Linked DNA regions of Caenorhabditis elegans. The protein of the gene in region 2 purifies or fractionates together with the protein of the main gene of each other region. This does not show direct contact. Each region holds a gene or a part of one and is shown on either strand. Other genes may lie near its edges. The genes, in order: C09D4.2, unc-24 and Y54F10BM.3.

What was found.
Region 1: the proteins of unc-24 (region 2) and C09D4.2 fractionate together in Caenorhabditis elegans (co-fractionation; one large-scale study listed by BioGRID). This does not show direct contact.
Region 3: the proteins of unc-24 (region 2) and Y54F10BM.3 fractionate together in Caenorhabditis elegans (co-fractionation; one large-scale study listed by BioGRID). This does not show direct contact.

The regions. Positions count from the first base shown.
Region 1 is NC_003279.8:5,489,285-5,493,041, forward strand, and holds the start of C09D4.2 (DUF4773 domain-containing protein), read left to right. Parts: upstream 1-2,139; 5' UTR 2,140-2,215; coding exon 2,216-2,483; intron 2,484-2,899; coding exon 2,900-3,004; intron 3,005-3,174; coding exon 3,175-3,279; intron 3,280-3,333; coding exon 3,334-3,423; intron 3,424-3,656; coding exon 3,657-3,739; intron 3,740-3,757. Other genes in the region: C09D4.3 (Protein kinase domain-containing protein), read left to right, coding at 1-86, 165-776, 913-1,069, 1,118-1,125.
Region 2 is NC_003282.8:7,978,011-7,981,767, reverse strand, and holds the start of unc-24 (Band 7 domain-containing protein), read right to left. Parts: upstream 1,899-3,757; 5' UTR 1,886-1,898; coding exon 1,662-1,885; intron 1,470-1,661; exon of another isoform or gene 1,462-1,469; coding exon 1,386-1,461; intron 998-1,385; coding exon 902-997; intron 847-901; coding exon 697-846; intron 651-696; coding exon 486-650; intron 441-485; coding exon 1-440. Other genes in the region: ora-1 (Onchocerca Related Antigen family), read right to left, coding at 2,878-3,036, 3,093-3,479.
Region 3 is NC_003281.10:2,280,014-2,283,770, reverse strand, and holds the start of Y54F10BM.3 (Tyrosine-protein phosphatase domain-containing protein), read right to left. Parts: upstream 1,747-3,757; 5' UTR 1,686-1,746; coding exon 1,613-1,685; intron 677-1,612; coding exon 625-676; intron 573-624; coding exon 498-572; intron 1-497. Other genes in the region: Y54F10BM.22 (Neuropeptide-Like Protein), read right to left, coding at 2,050-2,185, 2,687-2,850.

The DNA.
Region 1 (3,757 bases), on a different chromosome or scaffold from region 2:
CAACAGGGATGCTTCCAATGGAAATTAAGGTTTTGTTGAGTATCAGACGCCACAATGGAGTTCATTTCTGTGATATCATTGATTATGTAAGTTATATCATAGACTATGAATTCATGGATTTTGGATTTTGGATTACAAAATCAAAAAAACGTATCAAACTTTAGGGAACCATCCGTCGTGAATACAACTACATGATAATCAGTATTCTTGGAAAAGATCTCTACCGTCTTCGTGCCGAACAACCGACTCGTTCATTCACTCTCAATACGACTACAAAGATTGCTCTTGAAACTATTGAAGCTATTGAAGAGCTTCACAATATTGGATACCTGAGCCGTGATGTCAAGCCAAGCAACTTTGCTCCAGGACAACGCGACAATGGACAGCATAAGACAATTTTCATGTTTGACTTTGGACTTGCGAAGAAGTTTATTGATCGTGATAACAAGAAGCTGAAGTCTCGTGGAGAGGTTGGATGGAGAGGTACTGTAAGATATGGAAGTCTCCAAGCACACAAACGTATGGATCTTGGAAGACGTGATGATGTTGAATGCTGGTTCTACATGCTCATTGAGATGTTGGTTGGAGAGTTGCCATGGCGTCATATGTCTGATCGTACACTTGTTGGACAATCGAAGCTCTCAATTCGAAATGAATCTCGTCGTTTGTTCTTCAATCGAACTCCAAGACAGTTTGAGACGATCATGGATATGATCGATGGATACTCATTCGAAATCAGACCAGAGTACAGACATTTGAAGGCATTGATTAATGAGGTAACTAAAATTAGTCTAGATGGATATTTTTAGTTAGATCCAAGCACTTTACTAATCACCTTTCTAATAAATTAGATAGTACCTAACGTTCCATATTCCTTACAATTAAACAATAATATGTTCTTTACTTTTCCAGATTCGTATGGAAAATATGATTCCTGATCGTTGCAAGTGGGACTGGCAAGTGGAAGAATCTCAACATTCGGAGCTCACCGAAACAGCTTCTGTCATGTCTGATATGGCAATTATGGCTGAACAAGGAGCTACTAACTACACTGATCGTGCCTGTGAGAGTATGTTTTATTGTTTTTATTTTCTATATCAAAATATACATTTTTCAGACCAATAGGCATATACTCGTCTCACAACTGTTCTTCATCACTACTCTTCTCATCAAATCTCGAATCGAATCGAGCACTTTCCAGTTCAATTTCCTCTTTCTCTCACTCTTTTCCAATCCAAAGTAAAGAACCGATTGCCTCTTTTTGTATTCATTATCATCATCGTCGTCGTTTGGTTTCAACTATACTACTAGATTTTTGTGCTGTGTAAATAAATGTATTTTTTTAAAAGTATTTTACATCTTATTGTAAGTTCCAACTATCACGGCGTTAGTTTCTTTCCCAAGTTTGGCAAATTGAATATTAACTTGGATTAGAAGTGGTTAAACCTGAGCCAAACTTTGGCAAAACATAGTCTCCTGGAATCTTCTAGAAGTGATATGTTGACGGAAAGTTGGATCAAACTTTGATTACACTTGAGTGAAGCGTGAACCAAGTTTTCCAACTTTCAATCTGAATTAATATTCTTTAAAATTGTGGTAGAGGAATCCGGCCTTGAAGGCAAGAATATAGCATGTCACTTTTCCAACTTTTTTCTTATTTTCTCAATTATTGAAATTTTAAAATGAAATTATAGTTATAGATGTAATTTGATATGCTTAATCCAATTATTATACTGATTTTTTGGTTAACAAGTTTGAAAATGTCTGGAAATCCCAGAATGAATGGATATCTCATAGCAGATTGGCACTGTACTCTTCTGAACAAATTGAATTTGTACCGAAGTTTCTTTTCTGATATTTTTTTTCGAGTAAAACAGGGGCAAAAATTAAGTTTTTCCAAACTTTTCAAGGATTTTAAAGCACTGCTGGATATTTCGATTGCGTGGATCTTAATAATTTTACAACATGTCGTACTCCACCTTTCAGCATTGGAAACCTATTTATTCAAGGAAATTAATAAACAAATTATTGTAATTTATGTTTACCGCATCAATCTTTACCATCGATTCAAGCTCATCATTCTAGCCAGTTGTCAAAAAAAACATATCCGCAGATGTTATCTTTGATTTATTTATTGGGAGAACATCTGGTTGTGTAACAGAGTCAACTGACCTTCTCCCTTTTCATTCGTCCAAATCTTCATTTCTTTTCCAAAATGCACCTCTTTCTTTCTGTTTTTCTTCTGCTTATCCTACCGTTAATTTCCACCTCAGCAGTTGAGAATAATCAAAATATTGTGGATTTTTCTGTGAAAGATTTCAACAAAAATATTAATTCAATCGATATTCTCAACAAAAAATGGGATATTGTTTCGAAATATGTGAAATTTAATGGAAACTCATCGAAATTGAATGGAAGACTCCGATTATCGGAAAAAATTGACAAAATCATTTTTAAATTGGGAGACGATGGAGCTAATCAGAGTAAGTTTTTTGAAATTTAAAAGTGGATTAGCGCCCTATGGTATGACTCCTATGATTCTAAAATGATAAATTTTCACAGTAAAACTTTGCGAAACTGGTTTGATATTTTTAATAACATTTAAAAATGGTATTGATTCAGTTCTCAACTGTTATAATTTTGGAATATTCGAATGTTCCAAAAAATTTATCTGAAAAAGTTCTGAAATCAAAAAAAAATTCTTCTACCAAATAGGCAAAATGTTTTCTACGACTTTTATATTTTAATCAAGTTAAGAAATATTTTTTGTTAAGAAAAATAGTGCAAGAACGTTCAAAATTTCCGAAAAAAAAACCGAGTTTATCGAAAATTTGGCAATTTGCCAAACTCTTACTGACTAGCAGCAATCCTCTTGTTTTCTAAAAATTTTAATTTTCAGATGAAATAATAGTTTCCTTGGGTAATAGAAATACAACTCATATGACTGTGCACACGGATTCATACAAAATGAAAGTATCCACTTCGAAGCAAGTTGTTCGGAAAGGTCTGTTGAAAAGGTTTTGAAAATTGTATTCTGTTTTACGTTGTTAACAAAGACAATTGCTCAAGCAGCCTCAAGCCAGCAAGCCAAAACAAAACTTTAAAAAACTGAAATTCGGAATGAGAAAAAAAAAATACATAAAGGCTAATTAAAATTGTAATAAACCTTTCCAGAACTGTCTCTGAGAACTGGTTCATCAAACGAGAACGGATGTGCTTGTGTACACGGAAATTGTGCTTGCTGCCTAGAAATTTCTGTTCCAGAATTCAGACATTCAGGTAATAGTTTTCCTTAAATTTTGTTTTCTTAATTTTCCAATACTTTTAATTCAGTTTGTGTCAATGCAACCTATAACCCAGTTTCCATTGGCTTGGATTTGTCGATTGGAGTTGATGGACATTATTTCAGTGAAGAAATATCTTGTATGTAAAGAACTTTAAGATGGAATACGCGGTCAAATGGGTTCCATATGAATATGTTTAAATAATTCTCAAATTCAGATATCCCACAAAAGGAATTCAGAAAAAGCGAGTTGAAACTACTAATCCAACTTTCAAACTCGCGAATTTCTAACTCTGCTAATTTTTTGCTATTTAAATATAAATTTCACAGAACTTTTGTTTCACATAAAAAAACAATTGTTAATAATTTTCAGTGAGAAACCCCCCACCAGTCTGTTTTTCTCTTCCGATTCCCGGCGCAGAGCACATTGCAGGAGTATGTGTGGCATTCACAAAGGTAAAATTGTTTCTGGTA
Region 2 (3,757 bases):
TTATACGCACTTCCAGATCCATGTTTCAAATCAATGCAAATGGGCTCAATATCTTTGCAATTAATTTGGAAAACTCTGCCAATTAGACGGACTAAGTGTTCATCCATAGCTAGGCTTGCCACAGATATAAGATGGTCGATATCAATGGAAGGAATATTTGGTGTATCTGTAGAAGTTCCCGCAGCTGAAGTTGAGGGAACATCCGACAAATCAACTAATGGTGCATTTTCTTTTGCTTTCTCTTCAGCTGCACATTCCTTTGCAAAGTCTTCGAATACTGGTCCAATAACTTGCCACAACTGTTGACCAGCATCGGATTTCGCAACGCTGCTCAACGCAGACATCCCCATGTTCTCTCCTTCCTTCACAATTTTCACATCGGAAATTTCCACGTCAGTGATTTCAACTCCGAATTGACACGTAAATGATCCCAGCTCATCCTTCAAATTAGCAGAAATTATTCTTCGATCTTGTGAGCTGGTTACATCACAGATCCGTTTCTTGCTGATATATCTGTATAGCATTGTATTTGCCAATGTTCGAACTGATGCATTTCTATCTTGAACTCCACAAACAGCTGCAATTGGATCTCTAATTTTTAGAAAAACAGTTGCCCCGAGTTCCACGAGACCACGATCTGTGGTTATTATCTGTAAATTAAAATTTTTTTTTAGACAAAATATTGTCAAGGCTAACCTGGAGTGGTGGGACATTGAACGCAGTAATAGACATTGTTACTTTATGTGTTGTATCTATACATGGAATAACTAAAGTTATACCAGGTCCTCTTGTCTTCTGAGCTCTTCCCAGGCGTAAAACTACCAATTTCTCACTGGTAGAGATGAACTGAAAAATTAAGCAAATTTTGAGAAACGGTTCTCTAGAAAATTATAATTACTACCTTTAACGCGAAAAGCAATGATAAGGGCATTGTCATCACAACAAACAAAAATGAAACACAGAAGATCAACAGTTCAATGGCGCTCAGGGGTTTTATCTGAAAAAAAACATGTTTAAGATATCATAAGTATATTTTAATTAAATTGTCTCGTGTGTGTTTCAATTAGTTTAGATATTTCCATTTTTGTTAAGGTTTCTATTTTGCCAAAATCTGCAAAAAATGTATGCTTTTTAAGAAATTTAGAGTACTGTTGCTTGTTCAAATGCCTACAATGCTCAGATGGAAAAAAATCATAGTAATTGTAGAACATTTTTTGGCGAATTTCAACAACCGAGTAATTTCAACTTTTTTATTTACTGAAAATAAAAATATTTCAAAAAAACCAATTCAAAGTTTTACTATCAAATAATTTCCTAAATGGCTCAATTTCACATTAAGTTTTGATAAAGAAAACCAAAATTTAATTTATTAAATAAAAACTCACATCGTCTTCCATATTAACACCATAATCTCTTGTGTATGTGAAGTTTCCGTATTTATTTCCCAGCATCATTCCTTGCCTGAAAAATTATTGAATAGTGATTCTTATTGTTCATATGCATGTTGTAAAACACTTTTATGAAAATTAAGTTAATCGCTAAATTATAATTCTTAAAATATTTAATAAAACTTTAATTCCATTTTAACTGAAAGATAACATTGGAAAATTTTAATTTTTCATCTATATCAAAGTTAATTAGTTTTTTTGTTGAAAAATTACCTTGCTGGACCCATATATCCCATTTTATCGAGATCGTTGTAAGGAGCATATGTAAAAACGGAATCATATGAACCTTCAGGCATTCCATATTCCATTACACTTTGACTTGGATCACCAAAATCGACTGCAGAATATCCTTCAAGACTGTTCATTTCTAATTCTTCTGGTGCCTCTGGATCGTTTTGCGCCAGCGCCGAATATTTGTACGAAGAAGAGAACGTCATATTGAATGGAGCAAGAGAAAGATGAAGTAGTTGTGTGAGAAAGAGACGAAGAGCTCTAACACTGAGCATCTGCTTTAGTCGTTTCGAATGTCTGCGTCTCTGGCGTCCGGGACCACACATCGATTCTTTGGCTCCGTGAGCACAAATGCATTTATTTTTGCATTTGAGAGGACGGATGACATTGGATAGAAGAGTGTCCCAAAAGACTCATACACAGATAATGGTAGGGTGTCTGTCACACATTACAAACCAAGAATACGATGAGAAAATTTAGGGGTTAGGTTGGAAATTGTTGAAGTCAAAATTGAAGACTTTGTAATTTAAATTTTTTTAAAGGTAGGCGGTAGTGTTTTATTTACATGAAAAAGTGTATGCACACAGTTTTAATCTATTATAGTTTTGGAAGTCAACAAGTATGTTCTACGAGTTTTACATTTTAATTAAATTCTCAAGGTAAAGTATTGGCGGTGCACCGCGCGGTGGGGAAAACTTTAAAACCACTCCTATCGTGCTAAAATGAACAAATATCATAGTAAAACTTTTCAAAAATTGAAATTATTTCACAGTCTGAATATGGTAGAAACTCAGTTGTACCTGCCAACGTTTTGGAAGTCGACCAAAAAAAGTAGCTTTTTTGAAATTTGTATTTACACATTGTAGGTTTAAGTTTGGAGCAATTCTTGAGTTTTAGCTCAAAAATTCAAACACTTTGGAAAATTTGGAAATTTATCAAAACCATGTTTTAAACATTTGAAAATTTAAAAATTCAGAATGTTTTTCGCCCAATTTACGTATATTTTAATAATATCTTTACTATTCCATCTTTAGATTTGGGAACCAATTATTATTTGTACACAAAAGTTTTTATAGAAATCTTTATTATTCAATCTTAAATATATGTATTTTTCAATATAAATTAAAAGTGATCGGGAAATCGGGAATGAATAAAATTCTGTCATAGATATTTACAAAAATCGCTGTCAAATTATCGTCTAGTGATGTCTTGGTGGTCCATGAGGACGGCTCTTCCACAAATCGAAAAGCTCATCCTTCACGTTCTCATCAAGTTCTTCGAGGATTGCAAACTTTTGTTTTCCGAGAGCTTCAAGCTTCTCGTTGGCTACCTTGGCAGCTGCGGAGAGCTTCGATTCCTGAAAGAATGATATTCAACATCCTTTTGAGTAAAAATCTTTTTTTTTATTCTTACCTTGTCTTTGTACTCTTGCATTTCCTTCTCCTTTTTCTCTTTGAATTCTTGGAATTTCTTCAAGTTATCTCCAGTAAGAACTTCTTGAGCGAGAGCATCAATCTTCTCTGGCTTCTCACTGAATGGGATTGACTTATCCTTGAAAATAGCATCAAACTTGGCAAGGATGTCCTTTGGAAGTCCACGAAGGAATGGAAGTGGTGGTCTCTTGTGAATGCTCTTACGAACATCCTTTGGAAGAGATTCCATGATTTCACGAGTTAATCCTTGTTCTTCATAACACTTGTCTCCTTCTTTGTAATCTTTCCAGATTTCAGTTATCTTGGTTTGAACATCAGAAGGAAGATCCTCAAGGAATGGTGGAAGTCCGCATGGTGGTGGTGGACGCTGGAATGTTTGTAGTTTGAGACGGAGTTTTATATGGCTATTAAAATAGGAAATACAGTTCATTAATTTGCACTTAGCGGCTGATTAAAGTAGAAACTTCTATGAAATTTCTTGAGCATAAAACGAAATTTAAATTTAGGTTGGATTTTTCAATTTCGAATATTTGAATTTTGGTAAAATGTATGTAGCATTTAAAAAATTAAACCTTAAATTAAACCAAAAAATTAAACCTAAAATAAAAGCTTTTTTAAATTGTCAGAATTTTTGGAAATTAAAAA
Region 3 (3,757 bases), on a different chromosome or scaffold from region 2:
ATTATCGATTTTCTTTCGAAATTATCGATTTTTTTCGCGAAATTATCGACTTTTTCGTGAAATTATTGATTTTTTCGCAAGAAAATCGATAATTTCGCGAAATTATCGATTTTTTTCGCGAAATTATCGATTTTCTTGCAAAATTATCGATTTTCTTGCAAAATTATCGATTTTCTTGCGAAATTATCGATTTTCTTGCGAAATTATCGATTTTCTTGCGAAATTATCGATTTTTTCGCGAAATTATCGATTTTCTTGCGAAATTATTGATTTTCTTGCGAAATTATCGATTTTTTTGCGAAATTACTGATTTTCGATAAAAGAAATGACGCAAGTTATCGATTTTTTGAACAAAAAATCAATAAAAATTATTGATTTTTCTTCAAAAATCCGACCAAAAAAATCAATAAAATCAACATAGATTATCGATTTTTCGAAAAAAAAAAACCAATTTTTCGCCGCCGAGCAATTATCGATGTCAAATTTTCACAACTTACACTTCGATTGGAATTAGGTCGAGAATGTCGGTCAGCGAATTAAACTGTTCAGCAGGTGGTGGTTTGGTTGAGGATCTGAAAAAGAGCGGTCATCGGGATAAACTAACGGGACAACGGATAGACTTACACTGGTGGAGTTGTTGAGGTCGGCGGGGCGGGTGTAGGCCAATCGACGAAACCTGGAAAAAATCAATAAATTTTTGTTGAAAAATCGATAATTTCGCGAATAATCGATAAATTATCAAAAATCGATAATTTCGCAATCGCAATGGCCACGTGGCTTTTTTTTACCGTCCTCTCCACGTCATTTTCAAAAAGAAATAAATAACAAACTCCACGTGTTCATCGAAAATATCAAAAATCGATAATTTCGCGAAAAAATCGATAATTTATCGAAAATCAGTAATTACGCAAAAAATCGATAATTTTTTAAAAATCGATAATTTTTTAAAAATCGATAATTTTTTAAAAATCGATAATTTTTTAAAAATCGATAATTTCCTGGAAAATCAATAATTTCGGGAAAAAAATCGATAATTTCGCGAAAAAATCGATAATTTCGCAAGAAAATCTGCCTCTTCCTATATTAAATCCTGAAATTGCATTCTTGACAGAAATAAAAAATAAGGGCAACTTTTCGACACGTGAGAAAATCGATAATTTCGCAAGAAAATCAATAATTTCGCGAAAAATCGATAATTTGGCAAGAAAATCAATAATTTCGCCAAAAATCGATAATTTCGCAAGAAAATCGATATTTTCGCAAGAAAATCGATAATTTCGCCAGAAAATCAATAATTCCGCGAAAAATCGATAATTTCGCGAAAAAATCGATAATTTCCCGAAAATCAATATTTCGCGAAAAAATCAATATTTCGCGAAAAATCGGTAATTTCGCCAGAAAATCGATAATTTCCCGAAAATCAATATTTCCCGAAAAAATCGATAATTTCGCGAAAAAATCGATAATTTCGCAAGAAAATCGATAATTTAGCAAGAAAATCGATATTTCCGCCAGAAAATCGATAATTTCTCAAGAAAATCGATAATTTCCCGAAAAATCCGATAATTTTGTAGAATCGAACCGTATCTTGGCGTCAAACCCCCGTACTTACTTAGCTCATATGGTTCCACGTGGCAGATGCCAAAAATCGATATGGTCACCAATAAAATCGACCACAATTTCATCTTGAATATTGTGAAATAAATTTTTCAATATCGATTTATCGACTTTCGAAAATCAAACGACGTGGTTCCCGACGTGGAATGTTTTTTGGCAATTTTTGAGTTTTTACGTTTTTATTCAATTTTTTAAAAATTTTGTAACTTTTTTAGTTTTTGAGATATTTTGTTCATTTTTGGCTTAAAATGTGCGAAAACTACCCACGTAAAAGATAAAATAAAAATTTTAGAAATTCCGGTAAAAACTACAGTACCCCACAACTTTTCGTGACGAGACCCAAAAAAAAATCAAAAAAAATCAGAAAATCACAAAAATTTATTGTGCGTCGTAGAAAAAAATCATGTCATTTCATAAATCAATAATATCGATTTATTTGTCGTTTGGCGGAGCCGCAAAGCAGTTTGGCGGGAACAGTGAAAACGAGTGGAATGCACTGCAAATCGAGTCTCGCCACGTGGATTCGTGGTGCTCCGCTTTGAAAAATTGCTGAATTCTGTGGATTCTTCTGGAAAAAATTAAAATTTTTGGTTTTAGAAGTTATTTTTGGATTCAGCGTGATTGATTACCCTTATCTATAGGTTTTCAGAGCTCTAGCTCAAAATCTCAAAATTTTGAAATTTGGCTGAGTAGCGACTCAGAACTGCGATACGGAGTCATAGTTTTGAAAAACTAACATTATCATTAAATTTGCCATACTTGGAAACCCAGAATCCTAAATTTTTAGCCATTTGCACTAAAACTGACCAAACTCCGTATCGCAATGGGTCGCTACTCAGCCAATTCTTGAAAATTGAGCTAGAAGGCCCAAAATTTTGGGATAGGGGTAATCAATGACGCTGAATTCAATAAAATTAAAGAAAACATTTAAAACTTGAGATTTCGACCAAAAAAATCGATAATTTGGCGGAATTATTATTTTTAAACAAGTTTTTTTCAAAAAAATTTTTTTTTTAATTTTTCCAAAATTTCAAAAACCTTTCTATTAGCAAAAAATCAATGAACTTACTCAATTTTTGTCTCATTTTTCCTCAAAACTTGATAATCCTCAGCACTCAGGTCATCCGAGTGTACAGAGTTCAACGATGCACCATAATTGATAGGTAGAGTCAGAATTTCAGAAATTTGAATAAAAAATATCAAAAATAATAAGGTTACTGTAGTTTTTCGCATGTTTTTTTGAACTTTTACATAGAGAAAGTGTAAAAAGTTTTTAGGGAAAAACTTGAAAAATCAAGTTTTTAAATACTTTTCTCACAGTCAGCGGGGGGTGGAATTCGTCATAAGACATGATGACGTCATAGGATCAATTTTGATATCTTTTATCAGTTTTTATCAGTTGCTACACGTGAGAAACAATGAAAAATTCCATTGTTTTGATGTTTGGCAAATCTGAATTCGCTGAATTCTTAGTGTACCTGAAAAGGGGTAGAGGGATACATTTTGCACCTAAGCAATGGGTGCAGATTTTTTAAAATCAATTTTAATATAGCGAAAAACTTCAACAAAATCAGTAAAATTAATTTAAGTTTGAAAAAAAAAATTTTGAAAATTTTTTTCCAATTTTTCAAAAAAAAAAACAAAAATTTTTTGGGTCTCTACACGGAAAGTTATGGGGTACTGTAGTTTTACGGGTTCTTGTAAATTCCTATGTTATATTTTATGGAAAAATATTGAGGGTACTATTTAAAACTAATCTAGGCTCAGAATCTTGAAAATTGGCAAAGTTATGGAGTTTTGAAAAAATTGAAAAAAAAATTTTTTCAAAATTTTTTGGGTCCCGCCTTAAAAAGTCTTTTGGTACTGTAGTTTTATGAGTTGCTATGAATTACTGTACTAGATTTTAAAGAAAATCATTTAGAGCGCTATTCAAAATAAATTTGAGCTCAAAATCTTAAAAATTGACAAAGTTATGGAGTTTTGAAAAAAAATCAAAAAAAAATTTTTGTTAAATTTTTGGATCCCGCCACGAAAAGTGTTGTGGTACTGTAGTTTTATAAATTGTTTTAAATTTTATTGTCAGATTTCATAGAAAAATATTTAGAGCTTTAATAAAAATAAATTTGAGTCAAAAATCTTG